Macaca fascicularis: one gene and its partner. The protein of the gene in region 1 binds, or shares a complex with, the protein of each later gene. Links are inferred from orthologs where the notes say so. Each region holds a gene or a part of one and is shown in the gene's direction. Other genes may lie near its edges.

Region 1 (4,255 bases):
AATTTCGGAAGAGGATAGCACTGAGAGAGGAGTGTCATTTAGGGCAATTTGGTTTTCAGTAACTGAGAGGACTTACTAATGGAGGCTTCCAGCATGTATTGGAAATGCTGTACTGAAACTCTGGTTAAAAGTTAGGGCCAAGTATAGAGATTTTGGAAGCATTTATCTCACCATGGTAACTCAGGACAAGGCAGGATGGTGTAGCAAGAGCTCCCGTGTGGTCCAGGGCAGGTCCCTTTTCAGGCGTGTGAGAGCCATGGCCCCTCTCACCCTAAAGCATTCACACACCATTTTACATGTATTTTTTGGGGGGGAGGTCCATATACCCCAGATTCGTTCCTGGAATAGAGATAGATGTGATCCAGTGCAGATTTTGGGGAAATGCTTCTACATTGAAGAGGTGGAAGGAAGAAGAACCAGGAGAGCAGTTGTGTTCAAGTCATGACCTTTCATGGTGCCTAGAGAAGATGGCGCAGAAATGGCCTGTGCCTGGGACAGGGCGTCCCCACGCTCCTGCTGTGCGGGAGACTCTCCATGAAGGTTGCTGCTGCTTGTGCGAGCTCTGAGTCTGCAGTACTGCCGGCGGCCCCCACACCCACCGCCCCACATCTGCAAATTCAATCAACTGAGGATCAAAAACACTTAAAAAATGCAGCCATTAAAAAAATACAAAAAAAATCCACCCCAATAGTGTAACAGCTATTTGCATAGCATGTACATTGTGCTAGATATTATAAGTAATTTAGAGGTGATTTAACGTACATGGGAAGATGTGTGTAGGTTAGGTGCAAATATTGCTCTGTTTTATAGAAAAGACTTGAGCATCAGGGGATTTCGGTATCTGTGGGGGTCGTGGGATTGGTCCCCTGCAGATGCTGAGGGCGACAGGGCGCTGCTGCTTCTCTGAAATGACTCCTGCTGTCCCCATCGTCCTGTCCACGGCTGCCAGGGTCAGTGGAGAGCAAAGTTTCTGCTGTTGAGTGTTTATAGTATAACTGGGAAGATAGAAGACACAAATCCTAAAAGACTCCGGCCGGGCGCGGTGGCTCAAGCCTGTAATCCCAGCACTTTGGGAGGCCGAGGCGGGTGGATCACGAGGTCAGGAGATCGAGACCATCCTGGCTAACATGGTGAAACCCCGTCTCTACTAAAAATACAAAAAAAAAAAAACTAGCCGGGCGCGGTTGTGGGCGCCTGTAGTCTCAGCTACTTGGGAGGCTGAGGCGGGAGAATGGCGTGAACCCGGGAGGCGGAGCTTGCAGTGAGCCGAGATCACGCCACTGCACTCCAGCCTGGGAGACACAGCGAGACTCCGTCTCAAAAAAAAAAACAAAAAAAAACAAAAAAAACAAATCCTAAAAGACTCCTAATAATGGTCAAAAAACAGGAGAACATGTCAGATTCATCTTTATCTGTGAAAAGGTTATGAAGATGTAAAAGTGTGAATAAAGAATAAAGAGTGAAAATTTAAAAACTGGAGCACGAGAGATGCCTCAACCCTGAAGGAGCAAAGAGAGTTCCGAGGAGGCTCTGGGTTCTGTGTCTTCATAGGCTGGTTTGGGCTGAGACTGATTAAGACTGATTCAAACCTTCTCTTTGGAATGAAAATGTTTAATGACTCAAGGGAATAATGAAAACATTTCCAGAGAAAAATCTTTATATCATTAAAATTACGTAGATCAACGGAAATAGAACCCCATGCCCTTAAAACAGGACCGTGGTGAGCTCATCAAGGGGTTCCGTGGTGTCGTGACTCCGGGCAGACCTCACTCATCCTCAGATAACTACAGCTCCTTCACTGGGAGCATCTTAGTTTTTTACTACCGGTGTGTAATTGGAATAATAGCAACACTAAAATAGGCCTGTCTTAACTGCTTTCTTATTCTGAAGGACAAACAAATCTTAGGAGTCTTCTGATATATTTAAACTGGGTAACTCAGATAATGGAAAGAGACTTAAACTGAATCAGAAGCTCTCGCCTTTCTTGTCCTTGCTTAGTCTTTAGCTAGCGTTTTGCTTTCTCTCAGTCTGAGGTTGTTCCTCCCACTGGGGTTATTGTCTAGCTTAAGTGTTATTGTGGGTTTAATGACTGATGTATTCATGTAAGTTTTAAAACCGGTTTTGTGCTTTGCGGATGTAAATCAGCATTGTAAGAAGCTCTGTTATGTGTATAGTCTCCACCTGCGATTTCTTCTCAATAGAAAGCTATGGAAATGCTTTCTTCCCCTATGTTACTGCGTAGAGTCAGGCGTCTTTACTGGTGACAATCTGGGTTTGTCCCCTAGACGTCTCCAGCAATCTCTGTGGAGTTCACTCTATGATGCGTGATACTACTCAACTTTTGCGAGTTGTACAATTCACAAAGCTTAATAAGCATGTGCTGTTTTGGTCTTAAGACTGATTTATGGAAACGTCTTATGGGTATGGACGGGTGACTCAGCTCTGGCTTGCCCTGTTACCAGTGTGTTTAGGTGAGACTTCCGGTTAGTTCCAATGTATTAAGGGATTTGGAAATCATGAAGACACACACGTAGGCGTCTGCTGTGAACTCAGCTGGCAGAAGTGTTCTCATCTTTGTGGTCTTAGGGCTCTGGTCTCCTTCGTGGAACGTCCAGCTGCCTGTGCCTGAGGTCGGTCTGTTACTGGTGCCACAGACCGTGGTTGGCCCTGAGTCTGGGTGTGTGTACCTTCATTTCTCCTTTGTGAAAACACAGGCTACGGATGCATGTGTTCTCTTCCCTGTTGTTCTTTACAGCTGCAGACCTGTTCACAGACTTAGAAAATGCATTTCAGGGGAAAATTGATGCTGCTTATTTTGAGACCAGCAAATACTTGTTGGATGTTCTCAATAAAAAGTACAGCTTGTTGGACCACATGCAGGCAATGAGACGGTACCTGCTTCTGGGTCAAGGAGACTTCATAAGGCACTTAATGGACTTGCTAAAGTAAGACACTATTTTCATTTCTATAAATGAGTAATATATTTGACATGAGAAGGAATCTTGTGTTTAAAAGAATAAATTATATTAAAGGAAAATGAGTTGAATTCTTCGAGCATACTTTTTAAAATAAAATCTGAAAAAAATGTAAAATTTTCAAAAGGTAAAGCCCCTTTATTTTTCTCTGGTTATCAGCAGAGCATCATTGTCATGTTCTGTGCTTTATTCATAAGAGAAACTGGCATTTATTACCAAAACTATGGCGCTTACAGTCTTCATGTATGAGGAGTTTGTCTAATCACAATTAACTTTAGCTTTAGCTTGAAATAAAGTGAAAAATAAAATACACATTTTAAAATTGAATTTTACTTTTATATTTGTAGTTAATGTTTCACATAAAAACAAAACTACAGCCCTTTTTATTTTGCTCCCTGACATTTCTCATGGCATCTTCCCTTCCAGAGTTAAATGTGTGTCCTTCTCCACCAGTAGAGACAGAGACAGTTCTGGACCAGAGCCTGCTATGCTCCTGGGTCTAGAGACAGTGCAGACCCTGGCCCAGGCAGTGTGAGCCTGGGCATGAGCACCCCCGGGGGCCACAGCCTGGGCCTGGAGATTTTCACCCAAGTGTTTAGAAGAATGAAAGTTATTTTTTGGTGTTCCTTTTAGGACACTTAAAGTAAGCTAAATGTTCCCTTTAAGACACAAAATCAGCCGAGCGTGGTGGCTCAAGCCTGTAATCCCCGCACTTTGGGAGGCCGAGACGGGTGGATCACGAGGTCAGGAGATCGAGACCATCCTGGCTAACCCAGTGAAACCCCGTCTCTACTATACAAAAAAACTAGCCAGGCGAGGTGGCGGGCACCTGTAGTCCCAGCTACTCGGGAGGCTGAGGCAGGAGAATGTCGTAAACCCGGGAGGCGGAGCTTGCAGTGAGCTGAGATCTGGCCACTGCACTCCAGCCTGGGTGACAGAGCGAGACTCCGTCTCAAAAAAAAAAAAAAGACACAAAATCATAACTTACCTTTAAACCCTGCCAGTGCTGCCCAGGCAACTGTTTTAGGGCCTCAGATCCTCAAGTTTCAGTGGATTGCAGCCTAGAAAGCTTGCTTGTGGGCCCAATTTAGAGAATGAGATTTTCAGGTGTGGGGTGGAGGATTTGCATTTCCAGCAAGTTCCAGCTGCTGGTGATGCTGTGTTTGTGGGGACTACACATTGAGAACCACTGTTTGAGACATGCAAGCTCTTACATCTTACCTTCTAGCCAGAAGCCAGTCTCCTTTGTGAAAACTCATATGGCTTTTTGAGGCATACAC
Region 2 (4,255 bases), on another chromosome or scaffold:
CTTCGTTGCCTTGGCTGGAGTGCAGTGGCGTGATCTCAGCTCACTGCAGCCTCGACCGCCCAAGCTCAGGTGATTCTCCCACCTCAGCCTGCCGAGTAGCTGGGACTGCAGGCGTGCACCATCACACGCAGCTAATTTCTGTATTTTTAGTAGAGACGGGAATTTGTCATGTTGCCCAGGCTGGTTTGAACTGGAGTCAAGCGATCTGTCCACCTTGGCCTCCTAAAGTGATGGGATTACAGGTGTGAGCCGCCGTGCCCGGCCTTGAGGTCCCTCCACAGTCAGGCAGCCGGATCCACACTAACCCCCACCCCACCGTGAGGCTTCTCCCCACATGGGCACTGGCCACTTCGTGGCTGTGGGTGAATGAGGCCAACAGGGTGGAAAGGAAGTGGTGCAGAGTCAGAGGCAGTTCCTGGAAGATGCACTTGCTGTTCTCGAACCCCCACGCCACACCTGCTGCTTTAGGAATGGCAGACCTCGGGGTCCCTGTTTTATTGGCCATCCTGAGAAGCCGCTGGAGTAATAGACAGAAATGGAACTTGAAGCTGAAAAGTGTAGATCTGCCAGCCTGGGCAACACGGCCCGACCCCGCCTCTACAAAAAATTTAAAAATTAGCCGGGAATGGTGGCATGCGCCTGTGTTCCCAGCTCTGAGGGAGGCTTAAGAGGCAGGATCGCTTGAGCCTAGGTGCTCAAGGCTGCAGTGAACTGAGATTGCACCACTGCACTCCAGCCTGGGTGACAGAGCAAGATTTGTCTCAAAAAGGAAAAAAAAACAAGGACAATGTGGATCTGCATCGTGATTGAGGCTTTTGCCGAAGGGCTTGCGTTGGTGACGGATTGCAGCTGCGCTCAGAGTCTTGAGGCCTGCAGTACAGGACACTTCCCAGCAGACGTGTGAGGCCGACAGTGATTTTGTAAACTGGAAGCGTGTTGTTTGGAGCCTTCCTGAGCTGCTAGGGCCTGGTTTGGGTGTGGTCTGGCTGGCACGGGGCCCTGTCAGGCCCACGTGGGGACAGTTTCAACATCGTGCTTTCCTCTGGTGCTCCTCCTGGCCCCCCAGGCAGGGCCCGCCTGAGGCTGTGGACTGAGAACTTGGTCCTGGGACGTGAGGGGTTTGGTAGGTGACGGCCTGTGGCTGTCCTCATGAGGAAACTTAGCTGTGTGTCCTGCAGCCGTCTCATGCTGTGTGGATAGAAATTATCAGCGTTTCTTAACGTATAAATGATAACTTTTTGAAGACAAGGTTTTTTGTACCAGAGTAACCCAGACTTACCAAGTTGTACTTACGAATGTTGAAAGTGCTGCTTCTGCTGGAGTTGCCTTTTCAACTCCTAACTTCATCTTTTCAAATGTCAGCCATTATCTGAGCATCGCAGAGCCCAGTGTGGTGAGACCTTGACACAAGCCCCTCCGCCTCCCAGGCCGGCCGCGTCCTGTGGTGGCCGGAACTCAGCCTGTGGCTGCCCAGTGGGGTCAGTCAAAGCCAAGTGCAGTGGCCGACCTTTTATACCCATAAACAAGACGAGCAAGAGTGAGACTGACCCGCGGAGGAGGCACGTGGCTGTGGGGGCGTGGGAGTGGGGGCCGCGGCCACAGCGCTGTCTGTGCCTGCAGGCACGCTGCCCCTGGCCTCGCAGGAGTCGGCCGTGGTGGAGGACCTGCTGTACGTGCTGGTGGGCGTGGACGGGAGGTACGTCACTGCTCAGCCCCTGGCTGGGAGGCAGAGCCGGACCTTCCTCGTGGACCCCAACCTGGACCTGTCCATCAGGGAGCTGGTGAACAGGATCCTCCCGGTGGCTGCCAGCTACTCCACCGTGACCAGGTGGGCACCGGGTGCGGTCGCTGGGGGCGTGCCCTGTTGTGGGGGAGGGGTTGGGTCCCGTCCTGATGACCATGGGGACAGTGCCAGACTCAGTTTTGGAGGGTCTGTGAGTCACCGTCCAGGGTCCTGACTCATCTCCTCCTAGGGGCAAAAGTTCCCCTCTGGGATGTGGGGTTCGAGTGAGTCATGTGCTTCCTGTTTGGGATGAGACTTAGAATGTCAGACGTTGGATGTGCCTGCAGCTTGCCTTTTTGAGGAAGTCTGACAGCTTTTCTCATAGGTTCATTGAAGAGAAGTCTTCCTTCGAGTACGGGCAGGTGAACCACGCCCTGGCGGCCGCCATGCGCACTCTGGTGAAGGAGCACCTGATCCTGGTGTCACAGCTGGAGCAGCTGCACAGGCAGGGCCTCCTTTCGTTGCAGAAGCTCTGGTTCTACATCCAGCCGGCCATGCGCACCATGGACATCCTGGCCTCCCTCGGTGCGTGCCCGCCCGGGGGGCATGGGGCAGTGGGTGGCAGGTGTCTCAACACAGCACCCGGTGTGAGGAGAGACCACAGGGGCTGTGGAGCAGCCGCCCAGGGCAGGTGCGTGCGGCCAAAGCCCCTGTTGCTCCATGTGTTATTAACTTGCAAGAGGAAAGCCCTGGAGGCTCTCACTGGTCAGCTTAAATCAGCAGCTACAGCCATACAGTTCATACGTATCCCAGAGAAGCAGCAGCACGTCCCAGTAAGAAGGCTGGAGAAGCATGTGGGGCCCCAGCAGTGTTGTTGCTAGGCTAGGCGTGCACTTCCTTCTCGGCAGTGAGCCTTTCTTTCTCCCTGCAGCCACCTCAGTGGACAAAGGCGAGTGTCTTGGGGGGTCCACACTGAGCCTGCTCCATGACAGGAGCTTCAGCTACACAGGGGACAGCCAGGCGCAGGAACTCTGCCTGTACCTGACCAAGGCGGCCAGCGCTCCCTACTTTGAGGTTCTGGAGAAGTGGATCTACAGGGGCATCATCCACGACCCGTACAGGTAGGGCTCCCGGGACACAAAGGACGTGTGCCGCCCTGTCCCGTACAGGTAGGGCTCCCGGGACACGGAGGACGCGTGCTGCCCTGTCCCGTACAGGTAGGGCTCCCCGGGGACACACAGGACGCGTGCTGCCCTGTCCCGTACAGGTAGGGCTCCCGGGACATGGAGGACGCGTGCTGCCCTCTCCGGGGGGCTCTGGCCTTGTTTTGCTTGTGGTCTCAGGAAAGCACACACCAGACAGGCGTCCACTTGCTGCTGCCCATGCGGCCCAGGACAGGAATGGCCCAGCTGCTTATGGCCTTATTCTTTTGTGTGCAGAACATTAAATTGCCTCCAGCTAGGTCCTTCAGCCTCTTTGGTGCATGGATTTCCTGATCTGGTGGGGTCTGTCGGCTTCTCTTCGGCGAGATATATTTAAATGCATAAATATATGTTAGTTCCCAAAGCGTTGTATTAACGTCTATCATGTCGACGTACCGTTGTTGAAATATTTTCAGAAGATGCATGTGTGATGTGGACATATTATGTCTTCCCTAACGGACCAAATACAATGTGGTACAATGGGCACCTTTAAACAAAGCACCTTCGCACTCGAAGCAGATGATGTTTGAGGTTGTTCAGATGACAACGTGGAGATGTCTGGTTTCTGTCCGTGTTGGCCCCACGCACCCCACACGAGCATCATTTTGTTGCCCGGGTTCATCATGGAAGGAAATGCTAAATTCCAAAAAGAGGCAGGTGCAGATAAAGACAAATCAGTTTCCCACCTAGCTCTGCGGACCCTGCATTCTCCCTGAGCCCAGGTTAAATGCTCCGTTCCAGAGTGAGGTTTGTAGGTTTGTTTGGTTTTCTTTTTTTTCTTTTTCTTTTTTTTTTTTGAGACAGTCTCGCTCCATTGCCAGGCTGGAGTGTGGTGGCGTGATCTCGGCTCACTGCAACCTCCACCTCCCAGGTTCAAGTGATTCCCCTGCCTCAACCTCCCAAGTCACTGGGACTACAGTCGCATACCACCTCGCCCGGCTGCTTTTTTGTATTTTGGTAGAGACGGGGTTTCACTGTGTTGGCCAGGATGGTCTTGATCTCTTGGCTTTGTGATCCGCCCACCACAGCCTCCCAAAGTGCTGGGGTTACAGGTGTGAGCCACCGCGCTCGGCCCCTAGGTTTGTTTTAGCCCACAGTTGAGAAATAACTGGTAGGTTAGGCTTGGCCCTTGTGGAACGTTACTTGGAAGTATGCTGGCCTCCGTTAAGGTCCCTCCACGCTGCCGGCCTGGAGAAGTGTGTCGTCTGCCTCACAGGCGCCCTTGCTTTGCCTGTGACCGAAGCACTCCCTGTGGTTTTAGTGAGTTTATGGTCGAGGAGCACGAGCTGCGGAAGGAGAGGATCCAGGAGGATTACAATGACAAGTACTG

Evidence for each region.
Region 2: the proteins of TUBGCP3 (region 1) and TUBGCP2 are in contact, whole or in part, in a cryo-EM structure (PDB 8Q62), measured with the Homo sapiens proteins. The link is inferred for Macaca fascicularis from reciprocal best matches to the Homo sapiens genes TUBGCP3 and TUBGCP2. Residues at the interface, in NP_006313.1 of Homo sapiens: Glu272, Asn273, Cys274, Ser286, Leu287, Asp289, Thr290, Val292, Arg293, Glu296, Trp299, Ser361, Thr363, Leu364, Arg365, Leu368, Val369, Tyr372, Lys375, Ile376, Lys379, Ala382, Ala383, Asp386, His387, Ala402, Tyr403, Lys405, Thr406, Gly407; in NP_006650.1 of Homo sapiens: Gln172, His173, Pro175, Ile176, Phe177, Pro178, Trp180, Arg184, Ala186, Leu187, Ile188, Gly189, Phe191, Leu222, Tyr223, Val226, Val228, Asp229, Gly230, Arg231, Glu278, Ser281, Phe283, Gln287, His290, Ala291, Ala294, Arg297, Val300, Lys301.

The regions. Positions count from the first base shown.
Region 1 is NC_088391.1:102,961,277-102,965,531, reverse strand, and holds part of TUBGCP3 (gamma-tubulin complex component 3), read left to right. Parts: intron 1-2,755; coding exon 2,756-2,945; intron 2,946-4,255. UniProt on the Homo sapiens protein: Component of the gamma-tubulin ring complex (gTuRC) which mediates microtubule nucleation.
Region 2 is NC_088383.1:142,360,815-142,365,069, reverse strand, and holds part of TUBGCP2 (gamma-tubulin complex component 2), read left to right. Parts: intron 1-1,620; coding exon 1,621-1,828; intron 1,829-2,108; coding exon 2,109-2,308; intron 2,309-2,654; coding exon 2,655-2,844; intron 2,845-4,186; coding exon 4,187-4,255. UniProt on the Homo sapiens protein: Component of the gamma-tubulin ring complex (gTuRC) which mediates microtubule nucleation.